4 linked regions of the Arabidopsis thaliana genome follow. The protein of the gene in region 2 interacts with the protein of the main gene of each other region in a pairwise test. Each region holds a gene or a part of one and is shown on either strand. Other genes may lie near its edges.

Region 1 (4,249 bases), on a different chromosome or scaffold from region 2:
ATTCATAATAGTGAAACATAATTATTTTATCCCACCCAAGTGAATGAGTAATCGTTGTCAATTACACTACATGGGCTCGATGTTTTGTTTTATTACAAATGTAGATAGACATTTTGTAATTGTATATCTATTAAAATGCGACAAGGACAGCATTAGTTACAAGTCTCACCGACGTTTTTTTTTCAAAATGAACTAAACGTAGTGCTATTACTTTAAATGGATAAAACAGTTTGAGGGTACCACTCTCGTTTTCAATTTTATGTTCTGAGCTTTTCGATCGGAGCGATTATGGTTTTTCTGTCAACAATTTTTAGTGGAGATAAAAGGCATTATATATAATCCAATGTATTTGTAGAAGACATCGTTAATCACAGTATCACTTTTCCTATCAATCGTTTTCAAATGTCCTTTATTTCTATTTAAATGTTAGGAATATTCATTCGTTTTGTTAGTAGTAAGAAGTTGCACTTTCTCTACATATCATGTTCTTATTTTCAAAAGAAAGATATAGATGAGTCATTGAGTCATAAACTATATAAAGACATGACATGATCGATATAGAGATACCATTATACCATTAACAGTACGTAGCGTAGTAATAGCTCCTATTTCTAGAAGATGTTGTAGCATATATCATATCAATAAGTTTGTAACAGTTTACTGTTAGTTTCCCATACTACATAACATGATCATGAAGATTCGTTTGTTGCTACATGAATGTCTTGTGATATATGTCCAAAATCTCAAGACATCGGTCAGTATATTATCGTATTTTCTAGTGAAAAACACATTCGATAATAAAAAAATTCGATAGTATATAGTCGAAGCTAGGGATCAAATCACATCTACTGTATACTTCAACATTGGACTCTCAAAACACGCTTTAGATCCGATTTTTGAACGAGTCTTTGTAGATTATTATAGATGTAGTCTTTTGATTTACTCTAATGAAAATGATATATGTATTATTATATCAGAAAAGAATCTGAAAAAACGAAAAACCCCAAACGGAAGTGAAGTGTATCCAAAGGAGTTAGTGGCGGCTAACAAACGAAGTGACTTTATGCGAAAGTCATCGTCACATGCTTCTTCCGTTCTCCAAGGAACATCCTCAGCATCTTTCATCATTCTCCCAAAGTTAAGTATCACATACTTATATACTATTGTGTATATATTGATGATTATTAGAAATGTGCTAAATTATGGAGCAATGAGTAGTTTCAAAGAATGAAATAATTTGAAGTTAATTCAATCAATGTCAGATTACAAGAATGAATGGACAATAATAAGAGAAGGGTTAATGATTTAACATATCAATGTAATAAAAAAGTAATTACAAAGAACTACTTAATTAGTGATGACAATCAATCAAAGAATTTGACGCGGCCGTGAAGAGAAGAATCTGATCTTTGGATGCAAACGCGAATTTCGGTTTCTCGCAGCATCGTTCATCTTCGGGTGCTGGAAGATTCAGATCTAACTGGAGAAAGTTCTTTGGCCGTATAGATTCTTCATGGTGATGATGACTTGATGATGATATCGCTGTTTTGATTGCTGAAGTAGCGTTTGCGTTTATTGTTAAACCTCTATGTCTCCTCATATGTCCTCCTAAGGCTTGTCCTGAAGAAAACTCGGCCTTGCAGATTGAACATTCATGTGTTTTCTCCGGTTTCTTGCTACCATCACTACTAGTCACTTGTAGGGAAAGAAAGCTTCCTACGGCTCCAGCTTCCACTGTTTCAACCGTAGACGCAGACGCCGTTTTCTTCTCGACGCATTTGAAAACGCTAGCTCCAAGTTTTGGCTTCTTGTGACTAGCCCTGTGCCCTCCTAGCGCTTGGAACGAATGGAAGCTTTTATCACACGTTTTGCACTGGTAAACACCGTCTAGCCCTAACCCTAGAGAAGCCACCGGTTTCTTGTTGCTAAAGAAACCCATTCTCTGCATCGACAAATGATCGTCGCTGCTCTTTGCTTGATGTCCTTGCGACAACAAGATCAGACAATTCGCCATATCTTCGTCTTCATCGGTAGCTCCTTGGAATTCTACTTCACCAGCAGCTTCTTCTTCTCTTACCTCCACTGATGATCGTTCACCGCTACAAACGCTGGATACTGCAGCAGCGTTCATCATAAGAGGAGACGCAGAACGCTGACGTTTGGTGCGTTTGCCCTTGATGAGGAGAACAAGACGCGCGTGGTCTCCACTCTCCTCAAGAACACTTGTCATGATCCTCCGTTTTTTATTTGCTCTCTGTATTTCAAGAACACAAGAGGTCGTATATGTATATATGGAGAGAAGTATCAAAGAGTGTTTGGTGGGTTTGGTTTATATGTCTAAGTATTTATATATATTTGTATGTGATTGTATTTGTTTATACACACAATAGTATTGTGTGTATATATAATGTAATGGGTAAGAGAAAAGATGAGAAAAGAAGCAAACCCAAAATAACTTTTGGTGAAGGATTCCTTTCTGGAAGTTTTGGTTTGCAAGCCTGGAACCACTTGTTGTTCTCTTCTTGTTTTTATTTTTTTCCTTTCAATTTTTTTTAAATGATTTTCTCTTTTTTTGGTTAACTTTTGTTTTGCTTGTCTTATGAATCACATAAAAAAAAATACTAGTATTTTACTTATTAAATACTCATAAGCATCCTTATAATTTCAAAAGACACACATCATTATAGCTAAAGTAACAAAAATGTGGATTCAATGTCAACACTAATCTTAGAAGATGTTATTTTATTTTCTTTCTGAAAATGAAATTAAATCTGTGTTTTCTGTTCAAGAAGGTGTCATTCTACATATACCATTTTTTCTTATTAATAAAATGAACTACAATTTTGACACTTGGAATGTAATGTATTATATTAAGAAGAATCAAACTGGATTGCGTATTCTAAATATGCCACTCAATTTATTGATTTTTTTTCCTTTGATTTCACATTATCACTAACTAAAATCCTAAAACTTTATAAATAATTTTATATTGATGGCTTGAGTCATCCACAAGTAGTTTCAACACGAAACACAGTACCACAACACACACAATTCAAGCATATTATAAATTCCTGCAAACTTATTACGTTTTGTAACAAATTACATTAAAGATTTGAAACCAACTATTATATATAAAAGCTACTAAAGTACAAATTTAACTTGAAAATACGTCGAATTCTGTTTTTGTTTCTTAATACTACTAATCATTGCGGATATATGTACACTTAAGTTGCTGATTAAATAATTAAGTTAATTAATTGGAAAGTAAAAGGCAATCGAATTTTGGGGTCGAGCAGTTCATGTGCAGTTGAGCCAACCCACAATTACACAACACACAATTATGAATCATGATTCTAGTTATGTATACAATATTTAGTTATAATGATATTAGCTAAAACGAATTAAATATATAATATCACTCCCTATGTTTGCGCCTCTTTCTAAGAAACTTTGATTTTTATTTTGGTTATCCAATTATTTGATCAAACCATTATTAATCTTGTGATTAGCTAATAATATGTATTCGATGAAGTAACCTCCCTTATCGTAGTTTGTAACTGTAGTCTAGGTCTTTGTAGTATAGTATACTAATAAACTCGGTGACAGCAATTTATAAAATTCAAGAAACACATGTTTTTTTAATATTCATTCTACATAATGAGTTTCTTAGAGCTGGATTGATATCCAACTTTTACTCATTCAACTCTATACACATTAGTTGTCTTTGGCTCTCAATGATTATCTTTTGCTAACGTGTTACTATACATACAATAGATCATTAAGAAGAATATTTTTGAGTGTATTGTGAAGCTAGTATCATCACAATTTTAAAATGAATAAATCAGGAGGAATTGATTTAAGTCTTGGCGTCGAGGATTGTGTGTGTGAAAGAGAGATAGAGAATTGCTTGGCCGCCAAAAGAAGCCATTACTTGCCAACTAGCTAGCTTCACTACTCAACCTAAGCAAAGCATATACTTTATAAATAAATAAATAAAATCATAAACATAATTAGTCGTCACCCATCATACATTCATCATCACCATCCTAACAAAACCTTTTTTACAAGGCTTCTCAAAAACCGTTAAGTAGTTGTTGCAACTTGCAAGGATCACCTAAACAAATTATACCGAAACTTGCACAATTGAATTCCAATATTTTAAAAACATTTTTCTTTTGTCATTTGAAGCATATAAAATGGTTCTGAATTCTGATATAGGTGGGTGGAACAGAGTCTTCCCCCATATAGC
Region 2 (7,714 bases):
TCTCGCTGTCGGATTCACCAATCTCGCCGCGCGTGGGTTCCGTCGGAATGTTGGTGAAGCTGTAAGGTTTAAGCTGCTACAACAGAGTGAAGTTGTTTTGACAGCCATTAACATCGACATTCTTCGAAGCCTCGAACAAGTTTTTTCTTCTCTCTAATCGAGTTAGACTCTGACCCACACGCTTGGGATTTTAATAGAGAGCACGTGGTTATTATATCTCGGTCTTATCTTATGGTAACAGTATCTCAAAGACTCAAACCACAAGGTATTGTGAAAATGTTAGAGGCAATCTAACAATAAATGTATAATTTGGTTAGCTTAAGCTCATCATAGAAATGGGCCTTTATGTCACCAAACCTATTTCACAACATAACACAAGAGCCCACAAAACAACGACTCCTTTCTCCACCAGAACAAGCACGACAAAGGCAAGAGAGTTGCAAAAGACCTATAAGATGATAACAATCGAAAAGATGTAAATTTTGAGAAAAATCAAAATAAACAAGAAAGATTTCATTGTTTTTCACTTTTTCTCCATTTCTACTTTGATTTTACATACTCTATGGGCCAACCAATTTCCAACCTAATGCTTGATAAAAAATGATTCGGTTTTACTATCTCAACAAATTGGGCCTACAACATCCAATTTCATGTAGTGACTTGTTTTTGCCTTTTTCACATCTCAACAAATTGGGTCGTTTGTATTTAAGAAATTGTTACAGCTTTTTAGACTGAATTTTACTTTATGGCTTTATGCTCTCTTTTTCCGTTTTGATTAAGGGTGAATATGTAAACTGTTGATACCATCTGATTTTTTTTATTTTTTATTTTTCTTGTGTGCAACTATACCATCTGAATTCAATTGACATTTTAGCCAAATAAAAAAGATTGGTCCACTTGGATGGCTGTAAAAAAGTTTAGTGGAAGTATTTATAGGGCTTGTTGGCAATCTTCACCAACGGCTATAATGTTGATCTTTTTAAAATTAAACTTACCGTTCGACTGTCTTCTCAACGATTTGACAATTAGCCGTTAGATTAGTATTACTGATTTATTATTAACAAACCCATTTCTTTTCTTATTTTTGAATAAGCTAAATCAGGCCAATAAAAGGGACAAGTAGAGATGGGCTATTTCTTTTTTTCTCTTTTTTTTTTTCTTATGTAGTAGAGAAAAGCCTTTATTCTTAGAGCTATCATTTACCACCCATTAACCAGAAGCTGAGAAATGAAGCAAGCCGAAACGAATTTGTAGTTTTGGACGGTGAAATTATATCGGGCCTTTAATGGGCATGTGAATAGAGTTGAGAGTCTTTTTGCCCCAAATAATCGTTTAAGGGAGTATTGGCTCGTTGGTTTAATATTGGGCCGAAACGAGATTGGGAAGAAGAACAATGTCGGTTTAATCCGGTTAGGGTCGTGGGCTGATTCTGGTTCACCTTTATAGCGTAAGCGAACAAACATTGAAAATGGGGAAGCCAAATTAGTTACCATCCCTAACTCAGTTTTGAGACGTAGTATGAATGAGCCACGGCAGAACCTACGACCTAACTCGATAAAGTAATGGTTACTCTTGGAGACGGAAGAAAGCACAAAGATTTTGATAAGGCTTTCTAGTTGGTGAAATGGTCAAAATCGCTCGGAGAGCCATCATAGGAGCGGGGAGGTGCTATCTGAATATCCCAATGCATCAAGACAAGATGGATTCAGAAAACAAAGAAATTAAACAAACATTTTAAAATATGCTCTTAGTTTTAGATAATATAATGTTTTCAATACCAATTATCTTACACTGATAGTGGTCAAGTTACTAATCACTTTTAATAAATTGGTGATAGTCAAACGTATTGAAAATTATCGATTTAAAAATATTTGAATTCAAAACCATTTTAGTGAAAGTTTGCATTGTAGTTTTGATTATCCGATCAATCTTTAATATAATTACGTCAATAATAACTGAAATCCTTGAATTAACCGTTACCCGATTCATAAGCACTACTTTCCGATCAAAACCAATGAGATAAAATAACTTTTAAACCCTCCAAATAAAAAGAGAAAACCTTAAAAACCAATTTCTGTTCGGTGGGGATGATGATCGGACTCGGACCGGTCTAACCGACTGGATTAAAAAGTCTTTAACAACGACAAGCTTAAAAATTTGCCTCTTAGTGGCTTCAAAACGCAATCGTTTCGCTTAATACTATTATTTTCTCTATCTCGTTTAACCAAAAAAAAAAACGAGTTGGAGGAAAAAAAAAACCAAGAAAAAAGAATAAAAAGCAAAAAGCATTGAGCGTCTCCGGAGATTAGGATTAAATTAGGGCATAACCCTTATCGGAGATTTGAAGCCATGGGAAGAAGAAAAATCGAGATCAAGCGAATCGAGAACAAAAGCAGTCGACAAGTCACTTTCTCCAAACGACGCAATGGTCTCATCGACAAAGCTCGACAACTTTCGATTCTCTGTGAATCCTCCGTCGCTGTTGTCGTCGTATCTGCCTCCGGAAAACTCTATGACTCTTCCTCCGGTGACGAGTAAGAAGATACTTTCCTTTTCTGGGTCTCACTCGATTTTTGTGCTTTTTTACTTTGTTTAATTACTTTCTCCATATAGAAGCTTCAAATCTAGGGCTTTTTGATTCCATCAAATCAACTGAGATTTTCTCCTTGTTTTCTGTATGAAGATAGCAGATGCGTAAGCTTTAACCTAATTTAAGACTAAACATTTTGATCGCCAAGATATGTTCTTGATGTTCGTTTCGTGTTTTTTTTTTCGTGTTTTTTTTTTTTTCATTTTAAAATCATTTTTATCTCTTTTTTTACCTTCATTTGTGACGAAATTTAATATTGCATGTTATTCAAGAAACTTTTCTACACGTGGTGATTCGTTCTTGATGTTGTTTAAGTAATCTTTGTATTGCTAGTTCCATCTGTTGTTCACTTTGAAGCTTCGTTTTTTCATATAAGAAACAATATGTTTAGATTGTTCAAATTTTGAGATTTGGTAATTATATTCAATATTGCAATGCACTTCAAGTAGTTTTGTTGAGAGATTATTTGGGGTTAGTGGTAACATTAATCGAATATCTTTGGTTCAAATTGGTTAACACATTGTACTTTATGTTGATCCAAAATGTATTGTAGATCTTTTCTTTTGTAATTCTCTTTAAGGAATAAGGTTTATCTAGTTGATTTTGATGGTTTATTGTAGTGCTGGGATAAGTTTCCACATTGATACTCGCCACACATTCTTCATTACTTAACTAATTGGATATCGATTTTAACCCTTTTAATCGTAATTTGTTGTGTGTTTATGACACCATACAAGATACATTATGTCTTACTGAGTGACTCTTTGTTGCTCTCTAAGATGTTGTAGTTTGGATTTCTTTGCTAAAGAAACTCAAACTATAACTGATTTTACTGCTACCATATATATGTCAGTGGCCTAGTAGGTTCATTAAGTAGAAATCGGTCGCCAATTTTACTAATTGGGAGAAACCACTAGACTACAACCAAATGTTCAATGACTTTAATAGTCTTCTGTTATTTGTCGTGGATATTTTTAACCCCATGAACTTTTGTATCTAGAAAAATCTCATCCACTTCTCTTTTAGAATACTTTGAATGCGACTAAAAGTGAGTTTTTTTTTTCTAATAGACCTAAGATAAAATCATCAATGGATAAGTAGGAAATGGAAAGGTAACTCTTGTCAGTATGTGTATATATACAGCTCCTTCTCATTTCCTTGATGTTGACTCCATAAATGCTTGATCATGAAAGCAAATTTGTTAAATTTGTAACCAACAAAATGCACAGACTATAGACGAAGTATTAGGAACCGTATCTATCTGTCTCCATTTTACAATAGTCAAGCTCTAGTTGTAGCTAGTTTCTTTATTTAGTTCTTATACCTTAACAAAGTGGCACTATGCAAAGTGTTTTTAGTTGAGATTAGTCGTCTTATGCGTCTTACTAATTGTTCATTTTTTCTTCTTTTTGTGATTGATGTAAAATTACTAAGTCACAACTTGAGATGTTACTAAAAAGATAAGAACGTGTAATAACTGAAGTGAATTTGAAGCCAGTCTCTATTCATATCATAGCATTAATAGATCATGGACAACACATATATAGGATTAGAGCTGTCATGACCTTCCCGGAAATGCTAAATCAGTTTCTTGGTTTATCCTTTTTGGAGTATCATGATATCATTTAGCCAAAGGTTTTTGGTTTCAGTATTCCGATTCGTTTGACGTTATGTGTGAAAGCGTCAATAACTAAAACTTGGATTGACTAGTCAAAATATAAACTGATTGCATTGAATTCTTGAAAATTTTCCCTTAAAATGAACATGAATTTCATCAAGATTTTGTCTTTTGGAAGGATGTGATTTATAATCTATACAATCATACATTTTGCATGATATTAGTTTTTTGAAGAACCAAAAATAGAGCTTCTTTATAAAACTGATTTAGCCTTGATAAGAAAAAGAAGGTAGATAATCGAACTCATGGGGATGAGTTAAAAATGTGTGCACTTAGTTTCTAAAACCTTTTGAAGTCGAAACAATGACAATATTGGCTGCGAAGTTGATATATAACAGGATCTTAAAGTTGAAATTGTAAATTCAGATTTTAATTTTAGAGCACCAGATGATCAGAGTTTCAGATTTACATTTGAAGTATAAAACATTTTGAACACATATATCTAAAGCAGTAACTTCAAAAATAGGGTAACTAATAGTAACTTACATTGTTTTTTTTAATGCTTTTATACTTACTATCATTTTTATATATAGATGCCTGGTTAAGTAAAGATGATTATCAAAAACTGTTGGTTAGTAACAGAAATTGTTGCAAATGTAACATATTATATAAGCTTTCTTTCACTTTGGTGCATTCTCTCTAAATAATGGCCTCTATTGATGCAGTATCTGATTCTTAGTTTTGAAATGGTTTTTGCATAAATTATTGTTCTAATGCATTTTTGTTTTATCTCCAGCATTTCCAAGATCATTGATCGTTATGAAATACAACATGCTGATGAACTTAGAGCCTTAGTAAGTAATTAGCTAAGAACGTCATTCTAATATTCTTCTGGATGCGGTTTTTGGTGTTATGAAGGATAGAAGCGCTGTTCAAGCCGGAGAAACCTCAATGTTTTGAACTCGTAACACCGAACTTAATTCTCTAGAGTTACAGTTATTGTGTCTACTGGAAAATACAAGAACTTCACAATCTTTCTGACCATTCCTTTTCTTCATGTGCAGGATCTTGAAGAAAAAATTCAGAATTATCTTCCACACAAGGAGTTACTAGAAACAGTCCAAAGGTTAGCAGTACGACACATTTTTCTCCCCTCTTCTTCTGATAAAAAAAATGTTTTTTTTCTTTTGTCTACTTGTGAATACAGCAAGCTTGAAGAACCAAATGTCGATAATGTAAGTGTAGATTCTCTAATTTCTCTGGAGGAACAACTTGAGACTGCTCTGTCCGTAAGTAGAGCTAGGAAGGTATATGTGCTGCTACTAAGTGATTCAACCAATTACTCCACAAAACCTTCTTTTTAGTTAGTTATCCTAGAACAATCTTTTGACATAAATCTTAATGTCTTGTTATAGGCAGAACTGATGATGGAGTATATCGAGTCCCTTAAAGAAAAGGTTAGTGCTTTGGTTTTTATTTTCGATAAAGGCCATATTCTAGGCTATGATGATTCTTGAATTCTATTAACCTGCTGAGTCTACAGATTACTATATATATATATATATATCTTTTGGTCTTGTCTTAGTTCCTGATTTAGTATTGGCTTCATTCAGGTGAAACCCTAATGAGAATTAAAAAAACAAGCAGTTTTAAACTCTTGATCAAATCCAACCTTTCCCTCATAAAGTGTCGAATTTGGATGAGGATGATTTATGTTTCGAGAAGGAAACATGTTTGGAAATAGCTATAGAAGTTGTTAGAAACTAATGACCTTATGATCTTTTCCAAACAGGAGAAATTGCTGAGAGAAGAGAACCAGGTTCTGGCTAGCCAGGTAACAATGACCACAATATCTTCTGCTCTTGAAGCTAATTAATCACTTTATACGTCCCCGTTATAGAGAGATACACATATACACGTACATGAAAACTAAAAGTTGAAGGACTTTGATGGATACTAGACAATTATAGTGAAACCCTAAATATGTGATAAGTGATAACAAAATGCTTTTAAAATCTATCTTTCTTGTTAATTTAGTAGCTGTCAGAGAAGAAAGGTATGTCTCACCGATGAAAGATACTCAAAACCCGGTATTTTTAATTTGTGAAATTTGCAAATAAAAAAAATGCTTTCTACAAGATAGATTAATTTCTTGCAATGTTTAGTAGCTGTAGAAAAAAAAGAAATGTAAGAAAGTTTCTTACAGATGGGAAAGAATACGTTGCTGGCAACAGATGATGAGAGAGGAATGTTTCCGGGAAGTAGCTCCGGCAACAAAATACCGGAGACTCTCCCGCTGCTCAATTAGCCACCATCATCAACGGCTGAGTTTTCACCTTAAACTCAAAGCCTGATTCATAATTAAGAGAATAAATTTGTATATTATAAAAAGCTGTGTAATCTCAAACCTTTTATCTTCCTCTAGTGTGGAATTTAAGGTCAAAAAGAAAACGAGAAAGTATGGATCAGTGTTGTACCTCCTTCGGAGACAAGATCAGAGTTTGTGTGTTTGTGTCTGAATGTACGGATTGGATTTTTAAAGTTGTGCTTTCTTTCTTCAGCGTGAAGAACCCTAGACCTTCTTATTTCTTTTTTTTTTTACTTTTTTTTTTTATAACTTTAATTATTTGATTATTTGTCTTACATTACGTGGCAAAGTTATTTAGTTGCATCTCTTTTAATTTGATCAAAACCATATCAGATATTTTGCTCTTTTTTCCAAGTTTAGTGATTCTGTTTTTGAGAGCTCCAAACTATATAAGATATTTTTCACCTTTTCCAAGTTTTATTATTTGTGTTTTTGAAGAACTCAAAAAAGCCAGCTTTTGAACTCTGTTTCATGTTTTGGTTCTTTCTGATGAATCCAGATCCATACAACCGTATGCCAAACTCACTGCTCGTATGTTGTTTAGTATAATATTACAGGATTCTCAACTTTTTACAAATACACATTTATGTACCGCTCTTTGTGTTCTTAGTCTTGAGAAACACTTGAGTAACTTGTTGAAGATCTGATATATCCAAAAAAGTTCTAAAGTCTAAACAATGCGGAATGAACTAGCTATCCTCTTCAGATCCTTGTAGTGTCTCTTCCATTGAAGACCTATAGAATCAAACATAAGCAGAGCAATTAACTATGTGTACAAACCAAACAAAAGGTGTTTGCTCTGTCTTTAAATCTCTGACTAGAAGAGAGGTTTTGCCTTACCGTTTCCGGTGACACTGAACAAGTAAAGGCGGTTTCCGGCAGCTGTTGCAGTTATCAGTACATGAGGCGGCTCTAGCTCGAATTGGTAATAGAGTCTACCATCGTGTTCTGCAACATTGGAACTTAACACCTTCCCTTCTACGTTTTCTCCAATAACTTCTGGTCCAAACGCGTTAATCACCTTCGCTGGTTGTCCAATATTTTCAATCTTAACATCGTCCCCGAGGTCTGTATAAGTGGAACACACAAATCAATCAATCTACGAGTACAAATAGACAAGATTGCATTGCCTATATAA
Region 3 (3,878 bases), about 12 Mb from region 2:
AGATCTAACTAAAGTGGTTAGATATGTGAGAATTACAACACAATGTCATATATGTATACATCAGAATATTAAACCTACAAAACAAAAGTAGCTCTGGAAATCTCAATAATGTAGTCTCTTAGAAGGATCCACAAAGGCCACAGAGAAGAAAACATAATGCTTAATAACAAAGATGAACAATGTGGATTTTGCCAGAATATTTATGGCTGTGAGCTTGTTTCTTCAAGAAGTCTCTACCTTTTAACTTCTCAAAAATCAAGTTTCTTAAACAAGTCTTCAATGCTGAGGATGTCACAGAAGAAGTCTTCAACAAACCTGTAGCCATGTTTTGATCACAGAAGAATCAGTACTTATATGTTTCTAATTGATACAAGATTCTTCTCCAGCAAAACCCTGATTTCTTCTTCCAAATCTCACTTGTTCTTCTTTCAGAATCTTCCATACGAATCTTTGATTCTGTTGTAATTCTCACAATCTCTCTATTTCTCACACTCCTTTACGGTTTCATTGTCTTTAGAGAGAAAGAACAAAAACTATTTTCTTTTAATCTTCTACTTTGATAATATTCTTGGATACTCTTACACAACACAAACAACACATACATATAGTGGTTTTGCTCCACTTGGTAGACTACACACACTTAGACTCTAGACCACATCATTGTCCTAAGACTTACATCATCCACTCTACTATGTTGGAACTCCAACACCTTAATTCACTCTCTTAGTTTACTTTAGTTGTCACAACCTCTTCTTGTTGGACCTTAACTAGACAACTTGTACAAAACACTTATTCGTATGGGCCTTATCTCATTACCTATGACCCAACACACAAAACACAAACCCATTTGGTTTGTTGACTTTCTTCTCTTCCTTTGACTCCTCTCTTCACGACGTCTCTTCTCCGCCATCGTCTTCTTCTTCCGTTGCTTCTTCCTTTGTTCTTCATCTTCTTCTTCTCACCAAGCTTGTTATTCTTGTAGGATTTAGTTTAGGATACTCAATTCCAACAGATTCTCGTAATCTCCATATCTAGATCCTCTTCCGAATCCGTAATCACCAATTCACCATTATCAACCAAAAGCTTGAGTTTTTGTTGTGTATCGGACATTGATTCACCAGCATAAAACAGAGATTCCATACTAGGGTTTGAGATTGTATTCTTCAATACTGTGTCGTCTTCTTCTTCCTCACAAAGTTTGCAATTTTGGTTTTTGGATTCGTAACGGTCACAAAGAGAAGAAGAGAGGCTCCTAAATATTTTGTTGTATTGACGCTTTTACCCTTCATAACGGTCTTATTTTATTGACCGTTGACCAAACCGGTTAAAGGAAGAATTTGCATGTTGGTTTACTCGTCCTCCTTCGCTTATTAGACAATCAGTAGTAAACAAATTCACCGACTAAACCAAAAATTCCACTAAATACAGATTCGGTTTAACTAAACCGGTCTTTGTTTGTATTAGATGGTTTTGAGTAATTTACTTTTAGAAAAGGAAACAGTTTTAATTTTTCGTTTAATTACCGATTAGGGTATTATCAGTAAAAAAGGAAATCAAAATCGATGTTGTTTCAGGTGGTTTTGTGTACTAATTACTTTCAAAAAAGGAAAACAAGTTTATTTAGTCGTTTAATTACTGATTAGCAATTATCAGAAAAAGGAAATAACATGGATTAATTAGAAAACGAGTTAGGGCTACTAAGTCTATATATATATCTATCTGATTAGAACGAGAGTGAGTCCATTATCATATTCTTCTTTCGCAACAAGCGGCAGCACACAAAACTCTCAAGTCTTGTCTCGTTCTCTTTTGTTTGTGAAACTGAGAAAAAAAACAGAATGGGTGGCGTGAAGAGGAAGATTGCTATAGAGAAGATACAGAACAAAAATCCACGAGCGGTTTCATTCTCCAAACGTCGTAAGGGTCTGTATAGCAAAGCTTCTGAACTTTGTCTTCTCTCGGACGCAGAGATTGCGATCATAGCGACTCCTGTTTCTTCTAATTCCAACGCCGCTTTCTACAGTTTTGGCCACTCCTCTGTTGATAATGTCGTCGCTGCTTTTCTCGCCAATCAGCGTCCTTGTGATGAAAGGTTTTGGTGGGAAGATGAGAGTCTTCTAAAATCAGAGAATCTGGAGGAGTTGAGAGAGGCGATGGATTCAATGTCGACTATGTTGCGAGATCTCAAGGAGTTGGAGAAGCAAAGAGATCATCAAACGCAAACCCTAATTCATCAGCCGTGTTCTGCAAGGGTTTGCATTCAAGATTATGTAACTGTGAATTTCGATGGGTTTAACACGGAAGAGCAAACCCTAGCGGTTTCTGACAATAGTAACAACAACGGTTTACTTGGAAACTTGGATGAGTGCAATGAAGATTTTGATGATCTCGATCAAATCTTCGATACGGTGACAAACTCTGAATTTTTATCGGTGAATTTGGAGATGGATGATGTAACTGTGAATTCTGAAGGGAACACGGAAGAGCAAACCCTAGCGGTTTCTGACAATAGCAACAACAACGGTTTACTTGGAAACTTGGATGAGTGCAATGAAGATTTTGATGATCTCGATCAAATCATTGAGTATTTGACAAGCTCTGAAGCTTTATCCATGAATTTAAAGATGGATGATGTCTGATGCATGCCTCTATGGTGACAATTTGTGTTTATGTTGAAATTGGATCCTTGATTTAAGTATTGCTTCGGTTTAGTATATCTTTGTATGTCTTTTATCAGCTTATGACTTTATTTGATCTGCGTGATATTTTCGTATATCTAACCAAAACATAAGAGCATCCCCAACCACAATACACCAAATTTTAACACCAAATTTGATATTTTGGTGTTTCAATTGTTTTATCATCTCCAACCATAACACCAATTTCACACTAAAAATATTACTTTTTATTATAATATTATTAAACTTAAGATTTTCTTTATTTTTTTAATAGTTTGATATACATAACATATTTCATAACTAAATTATTTTAACTTAATTAATATAAGATTACAATCGATAAATTGAAAATAACAAAAAAAAATTACATTGTACTAATTCTCAGAATTAGTATATACGGACCACAAGTGTTCAATTAATGCATTTCGAAGTTTAATATGAGCTTCACGGTCTTTGATTTTCCTGTGTCGAGCTAAAAATTCTTGAAATCGACCATCATCGATCGTCTCCCGCCGTTTCATCTTCTAGAGTTGGGACCTCGGCTCTTTCTTCAATACTTGCATCAAAATCACGTTCATCCTCTATGTCATATTATGCATTATGATACAAGTAGTTATAATATCATGTAACACTTTCTTACTCCATAAACGTGTTGGTCCAGCCACAATTGCAAAATCTGAGATCTTTCATAGTCAACCAAGACCAAAAAGATCTTTACAAACTCGAATGACAACGATTCTTTCTGCTGTCTCCAAGCTAAGAGGATGTGTAACCAGATTGAAAACAAGAATCCTAGCGGTGCTTCCGAGCATGACATTGTAAGTATACATACTTGAGTTAGTTGTTCATGCTCTACCATTATTAATTTATTTTACTTGCTAATTTTCATTTTTCTTGTCAATATCAAAACAGTTAAACCAAGCGAAGATGTTATTAACACAATATGGCAATTACAAGACAGGATTCAAATTCGATCATGTTTGGCCTATCCTTAAAGGTATTGAGAAATTTCAAATAACCACATTAATAGAGGCGATGCATTTCAAGAAGAAAGTCGTAATGTTATGTCATCTCCATCATTCCAAGATGAGTCATCACCATCCCTCGGTATGAATTCTTTCGATCTAAATACGAGTAGTGAAGATGCCCCCTTAAATTTATCTCAGAGACCTATGGGTGTGAAAAAAGCAAAGAGAAAAC
Region 4 (4,384 bases), about 28 Mb from region 2:
CAAGTGCAAGAAACTAAACTGTTCAAGCATGTGGATAAGTTTCTCTCCTCTGTGTACGAAGACAATCTGCCATATGTTGCTGCTAAGGTTTATTGTGACGGAGATGAAATCTTATCGGGATATGAATCAGATGAATCCTGTTGTAAGGAAACTTGTGTCAAATGTATCAAAGGTATGTTTGTTCTTACATTCTGGTTATCTTTCTAAGCGCTTCAGAAACCTTGGCTTGAAGTTAGTAGTGTGCAAAGTTCTAATCAAGAAATCACTTTTTTCTTTGAATTTCTTGTTTTACATCAAGGTCTTGGTGAGGAGAAAGTGACAGTGGTAGCTTACCCATCCGGGAACGATGTGTTCACTGCTCTTCTGTTGGCTTTACCTCCACAGACGTGGTCAGGTATCAAAGACCAGTCACTTTTGCAAGAAATGAAACAGCTCATTTCCATGGTTAGCCACCCGACTTTGCTTCAACAAGAGGTACATAACTAAGCCAACTCTTCACTTGGAGTCTGAGTTATATATCTTCTAATTCTTAGGATAAGAAACAGAAATGAAACTCAGTTATATAGTCTGAGGATTACCTTCTGAAGCTGACTCTTTTTTAAGGCTGAACTCCAGAATCCATTAGATGAGAAATATGTAGTAAAGTCAGCTAAGTTAAATCGTTTTCCTTTGGTGGGTTACAGGTTTTGCATCTACGACGCCAACTTGAGATGCTAAAACGATGCCAGGAGAATAAAGAAGACGAAGAACTCTCTGCTCCTGCCTAATCAAACACAACCAACCACTTTCTAATTTGAATCGACCAACAAAATTGTTAGGGAGAAAAAGAATTTATCCCATCTAGTCTGGTCCATAGATATCTTATAAATCAGCAAAAAGCTATGTATTATCCATTACATCCCTTAGATACATTACAGGTAACTAAGTACTAACCATATCACCATCACTTTACTATATAGATTATAATATAGTAATCAAGCCCATATGTTTTTATTTTTTTTACATACAAAAGTTTTTTTTACCACACTTCACCATTCCAAGGAATGGCTCCTGCTTAAGGGCCTCGACGGTGGCCTTGGTTTCTCATCGACCGGAATCAGAACCTCCATGAGCTTCTTGTATCTCTCTTTAGTGCTCTCTTCAATCTCCTTCAAAAGCTGCTCATTCTCCTCCTCTAACTTGGCAGCCAAAGTCTCTAACTCAACCTGATAAGCCTGTTTCCTCTCTCGAGACCTAGCAGCGGATTCACGGTTCTTGATCATCCTCTTCTGTCTCTGAGCTGCAGCTTTATCCATTGCCTCCATCATCACTCTCCCTCTCTTTCCTCTCGTTACTCCTCCACCCATTGATCCTTCAACCATCTGGAACGAACTGTGTCGCTGCATCGGAAAATCAAATGTATAGCTACCGTCGTTGTTGAGTCTCTCCGTTGGAATCTTCACATCGATTTCATCTGAAGCTCCCTCGTCCATTTCTGCTTTCGCTAAGAAATCCTCAAGTGTCATTATATCTTCTGGTTCTTCTTCCTTCATCATGATCGTCTTTTGCTCTCCAGATACAATCTCTTTCCAAACATCGTCAACACTCTTTCCGTTGTTAACGCTGTTCCGATCTCCGATACTCCGATCAACATCAATCGCCATCTCGAAGGGCTTTGAATCAGACGCGAAAGTGTAATCGTTGACTCCTCCGCCGTAAGCGAAACTGATTCTGGAGTGATCGGCGTGAGGATTTGGTCGGAGATGGTGCGATGATCTTATAGAAGGGGAAGATGAAGCAGAAGAAGAATTACGGCGAGACAAGTCGGAATTGGAAGAAGACATCAACTTGAAGGACGCCATTTCCGGAGCTCACTGGAATTGGAACGAATTTTTATCTATCTGGGTTTTGTCAAAGAGAAAGAACAATCGGAAATGGTGGATTTTCTTCGAACCAGAGATCGAGAGAGATCTTTCTAGGGTTATCTCTAGTGTTTTGCAATGTAACCACGCGCTTACTCTCTATATACAAGTTTAATTAACTAATCACGCGCACATTAAACGCGTGACTTGCACCTTCTATCAACTATACTATAAGGAGATGTTTTTTCTTTTCTTTTTAATTAAGAAAAAAGATTTACTATTCAGATTTCTTTCTCTTTTTTTTTTTATGAAAAAGATATCAGTGCAACTAAAGAGATTTACAATTCAGATTTCTTTCTGAAAATATATTCGTGTGACAGTAAAGACTAAAAGAGTTTAACAATTCAGATTTATGAGTACATTCTGAGTTGGACAATCCAACTGGTTATATGGACACTAGATGATGTAGAGGGAGAGAGGGCCCAACTTGATATAATCTTTATAATGAAACCAAAACAAAATTGCAAAAATTTCATGAATTTGGCTGAGACTCTTTTGGAAATGATGATGAAAGCGTCTGGTAACAACCAACAGTGACCTCCAATCTCTGATCATGGATCTCTCTCCAGGGAAAACCTCAAATCATAAGTCTCCTTATTTGGTTGGTTTCTGTAGTCAAGATCGGCTTTCGACTCAATAAATCACAGAATTTTATAAGCATTTGCATTTCCTATACACAAGCAGTGTGAACTTACCACTATGGACTAAAATGGAGGTTCGAGTGGTTCATCCCAGACATCTGCACTCCCATTTGAGACTTCATCTACATCTTCCTCCATTGACAATCTCGCATACTCTCTCTGAGCAAATCGATCCCACTCTGTCAAATTTGGATCTTCCCGTTCCTACAGCAATGAAAGAGAATTATACTTGTTCTAATTGCCTCAATCCGAACTACTACAAACTGCCTTTAGCAGTTAAAAGAAGTCATATTCTTTGTTATTTTTTTCCCTCTTGAGTGCTATAAAAACTCCACTGGTAAGCCAAACTTACCTGGCGAATGAGAAATGGGTCACGTGTTTCAAATGCCATGAACTTATTAAGGTTGAAGAGTATATTGAAAACGTTTGCTGAAAGTTTCGATCCTTTCAGATCCTGGAGGGTGATACAGTTCTCCTTCTGCAAGGACATCCACCATATAGATGATTCCAGTCAAATAAATGATAAATAACAAAAAAGCTCGGAAAAATCAAACAACCATGTTCTGGTTTGTAAAGTAACTAACCTCGGGTCCAATCATGTCAATTATTTGACATAGGATATCACTGAAAAGAACAGCTTCCTGGGTTATGCATTCCATGCGATGCAGCTGCTCTTCGAAGAAAAACTGCATTTCGTTTGAAGTGATTACCCCATTTCCATCCAAGTCTACGCATTTGAACCTGCACGGAAAATTTCAATCAGTGTCAAGTAAAATACACGGACTTGCAAAAATATTGAGTTTTGACATCCATAATAGATAGATGAGCATACTAGGCTATAAACTAGTATCAGATTGTTAGATTGTTAGTGCCCGAGTATAAACAAGGATCCTATGTTCATGAAAAAATGGTACCATACAATGATTACTAAATATATCTGAGGAAGAGGACTTGTTACAAGTAACAAGTCCTCAAGTCACTGGTTTTGACTCCGTTGTAGTATATATATCAAGATCTTGTGATCTAAACCAAGGGGCAACATTCATTAAGGAAAACCAATATCAACACGGAGGGGGAGATGTGTACCAATACTCAAGACTAGGCTCGGAAGACTTGTCTTCCTCAGCGAGAATGAAGTACACAAAATCTTCATAACTCATCTTCCCTTCAACTTTACTCGTAAACTTCCTTGGAATCTAAAAGAGAAACATAGCCACAAGACGCATGGAGATCAAATAAAAAGGATCACATCATACTATATAACTTAGCTTTTAAGAAGGTCTAGGCAGGAACAATTTTGGGAACCAACCTGTGAAAATATTCTATCAACAATCCTGTAGGTAAGGGCATTATTACCATATTTGATGAGATTGTCCTTATCAATAAAACAATCATGGTCACCATCAAGTTCCCAAAATTTGCAGTATATCACGTAGAAGTGCTCATAGGAGAAGTACCTGAAAATTAAAAGAAACGACATGATTGCAAATGGTAAAATCAGGCATAAGTTCTGTTACAGAAGCAATATGAAGGTATAAGCCAATACTCATATAGCTCTTCCATTTTGAACTGTTTAATGTTACATATGTGATAAACCCTCGAACTTTAATATATTTTCGTAAGCTTGTTTACTCCTTATATAACAACAGAATATGTTTGAATTTCAAATACTTATTGTTAGGAAATTATGAAAAGAAAAAATAAACTCACCTAATAATTTTATTAATGTCGTCCTCTTCATCAAGTTGTTGCATAGCAGCAATTAAATTTCCACGTCTCAGCTCTCTAAGAGTAAGGCAGCCAGTTCCGGATCTGTTAATGTAGTAAAATATTCTGTAGATG

The links.
Region 1: the proteins of MAF1 (region 2) and AT5G03510 interact in a two-hybrid assay, tested with the Arabidopsis thaliana proteins (one large-scale study listed by BioGRID).
Region 3: the proteins of MAF1 (region 2) and AGL97 interact in a two-hybrid assay, tested with the Arabidopsis thaliana proteins (one large-scale study listed by BioGRID).
Region 4: the proteins of MAF1 (region 2) and GBF4 interact in a two-hybrid assay, tested with the Arabidopsis thaliana proteins (one large-scale study listed by BioGRID).

What each region holds. Positions count from the first base shown.
Region 1 is NC_003076.8:878,334-882,582, reverse strand, and holds AT5G03510 (C2H2-type zinc finger family protein), read right to left. Parts: upstream 2,436-4,249; 5' UTR 2,231-2,435; coding exon 1,352-2,230; 3' UTR 1,236-1,351; downstream 1-1,235.
Region 2 is NC_003070.9:28,953,330-28,961,043, forward strand, and holds MAF1 (K-box region and MADS-box transcription factor family protein), read left to right. Parts: upstream 1-2,192; 5' UTR 2,193-2,349; coding exon 2,350-2,534; exon of another isoform or gene 2,535-4,981; coding exon of another isoform or gene 4,982-5,004; coding exon 5,005-5,062; intron 5,063-5,126; coding exon of another isoform or gene 5,127-5,172; intron 5,173-5,272; coding exon 5,273-5,515; intron 5,516-5,623; coding exon 5,624-5,665; coding exon of another isoform or gene 5,666-5,725; exon of another isoform or gene 5,726-5,821; coding exon of another isoform or gene 5,822-5,833; exon of another isoform or gene 5,834-6,000; coding exon 6,001-6,042; coding exon of another isoform or gene 6,043-6,084; exon of another isoform or gene 6,085-6,248; coding exon of another isoform or gene 6,249-6,281; exon of another isoform or gene 6,282-6,414; coding exon 6,415-6,516; 3' UTR 6,517-6,782; downstream 6,783-7,714. Other genes in the region: AT1G77060 (Phosphoenolpyruvate carboxylase family protein), read right to left, coding at 1-120; AT1G77090 (thylakoid lumenal protein (Mog1/PsbP/DUF1795-like photosystem II reaction center PsbP family protein)), read right to left, coding at 7,247-7,311, 7,417-7,644. UniProt on the Arabidopsis thaliana protein: Probable transcription factor involved in the negative regulation of flowering time in both long and short days, probably through the photoperiodic and vernalization pathways. Prevents premature flowering.
Region 3 is NC_003070.9:17,230,896-17,234,773, reverse strand, and holds AGL97 (AGAMOUS-like 97), read left to right. Parts: upstream 1-1,822; 5' UTR 1,823-1,838; coding exon 1,839-2,639; downstream 2,640-3,878. UniProt on the Arabidopsis thaliana protein: Putative transcription factor.
Region 4 is NC_003070.9:1,015,694-1,020,077, reverse strand, and holds GBF4 (G-box binding factor 4), read right to left. Parts: upstream 1,979-4,384; 5' UTR 1,842-1,978; coding exon 1,029-1,841; 3' UTR 831-1,028; downstream 1-830. Other genes in the region: PCS2 (phytochelatin synthase 2), read left to right, coding at 1-172, 299-474, 684-767; AT1G03960 (Calcium-binding EF hand family protein), read right to left, coding at 2,606-2,746, 2,895-3,020, 3,127-3,283, 3,629-3,738, 3,852-3,999, 4,253-4,384. UniProt on the Arabidopsis thaliana protein: Binds to the G-box motif (5'-CCACGTGG-3') of the rbcS-1A gene promoter. G-box and G-box-like motifs are cis-acting elements defined in promoters of certain plant genes which are regulated by such diverse stimuli as light-induction or hormone control.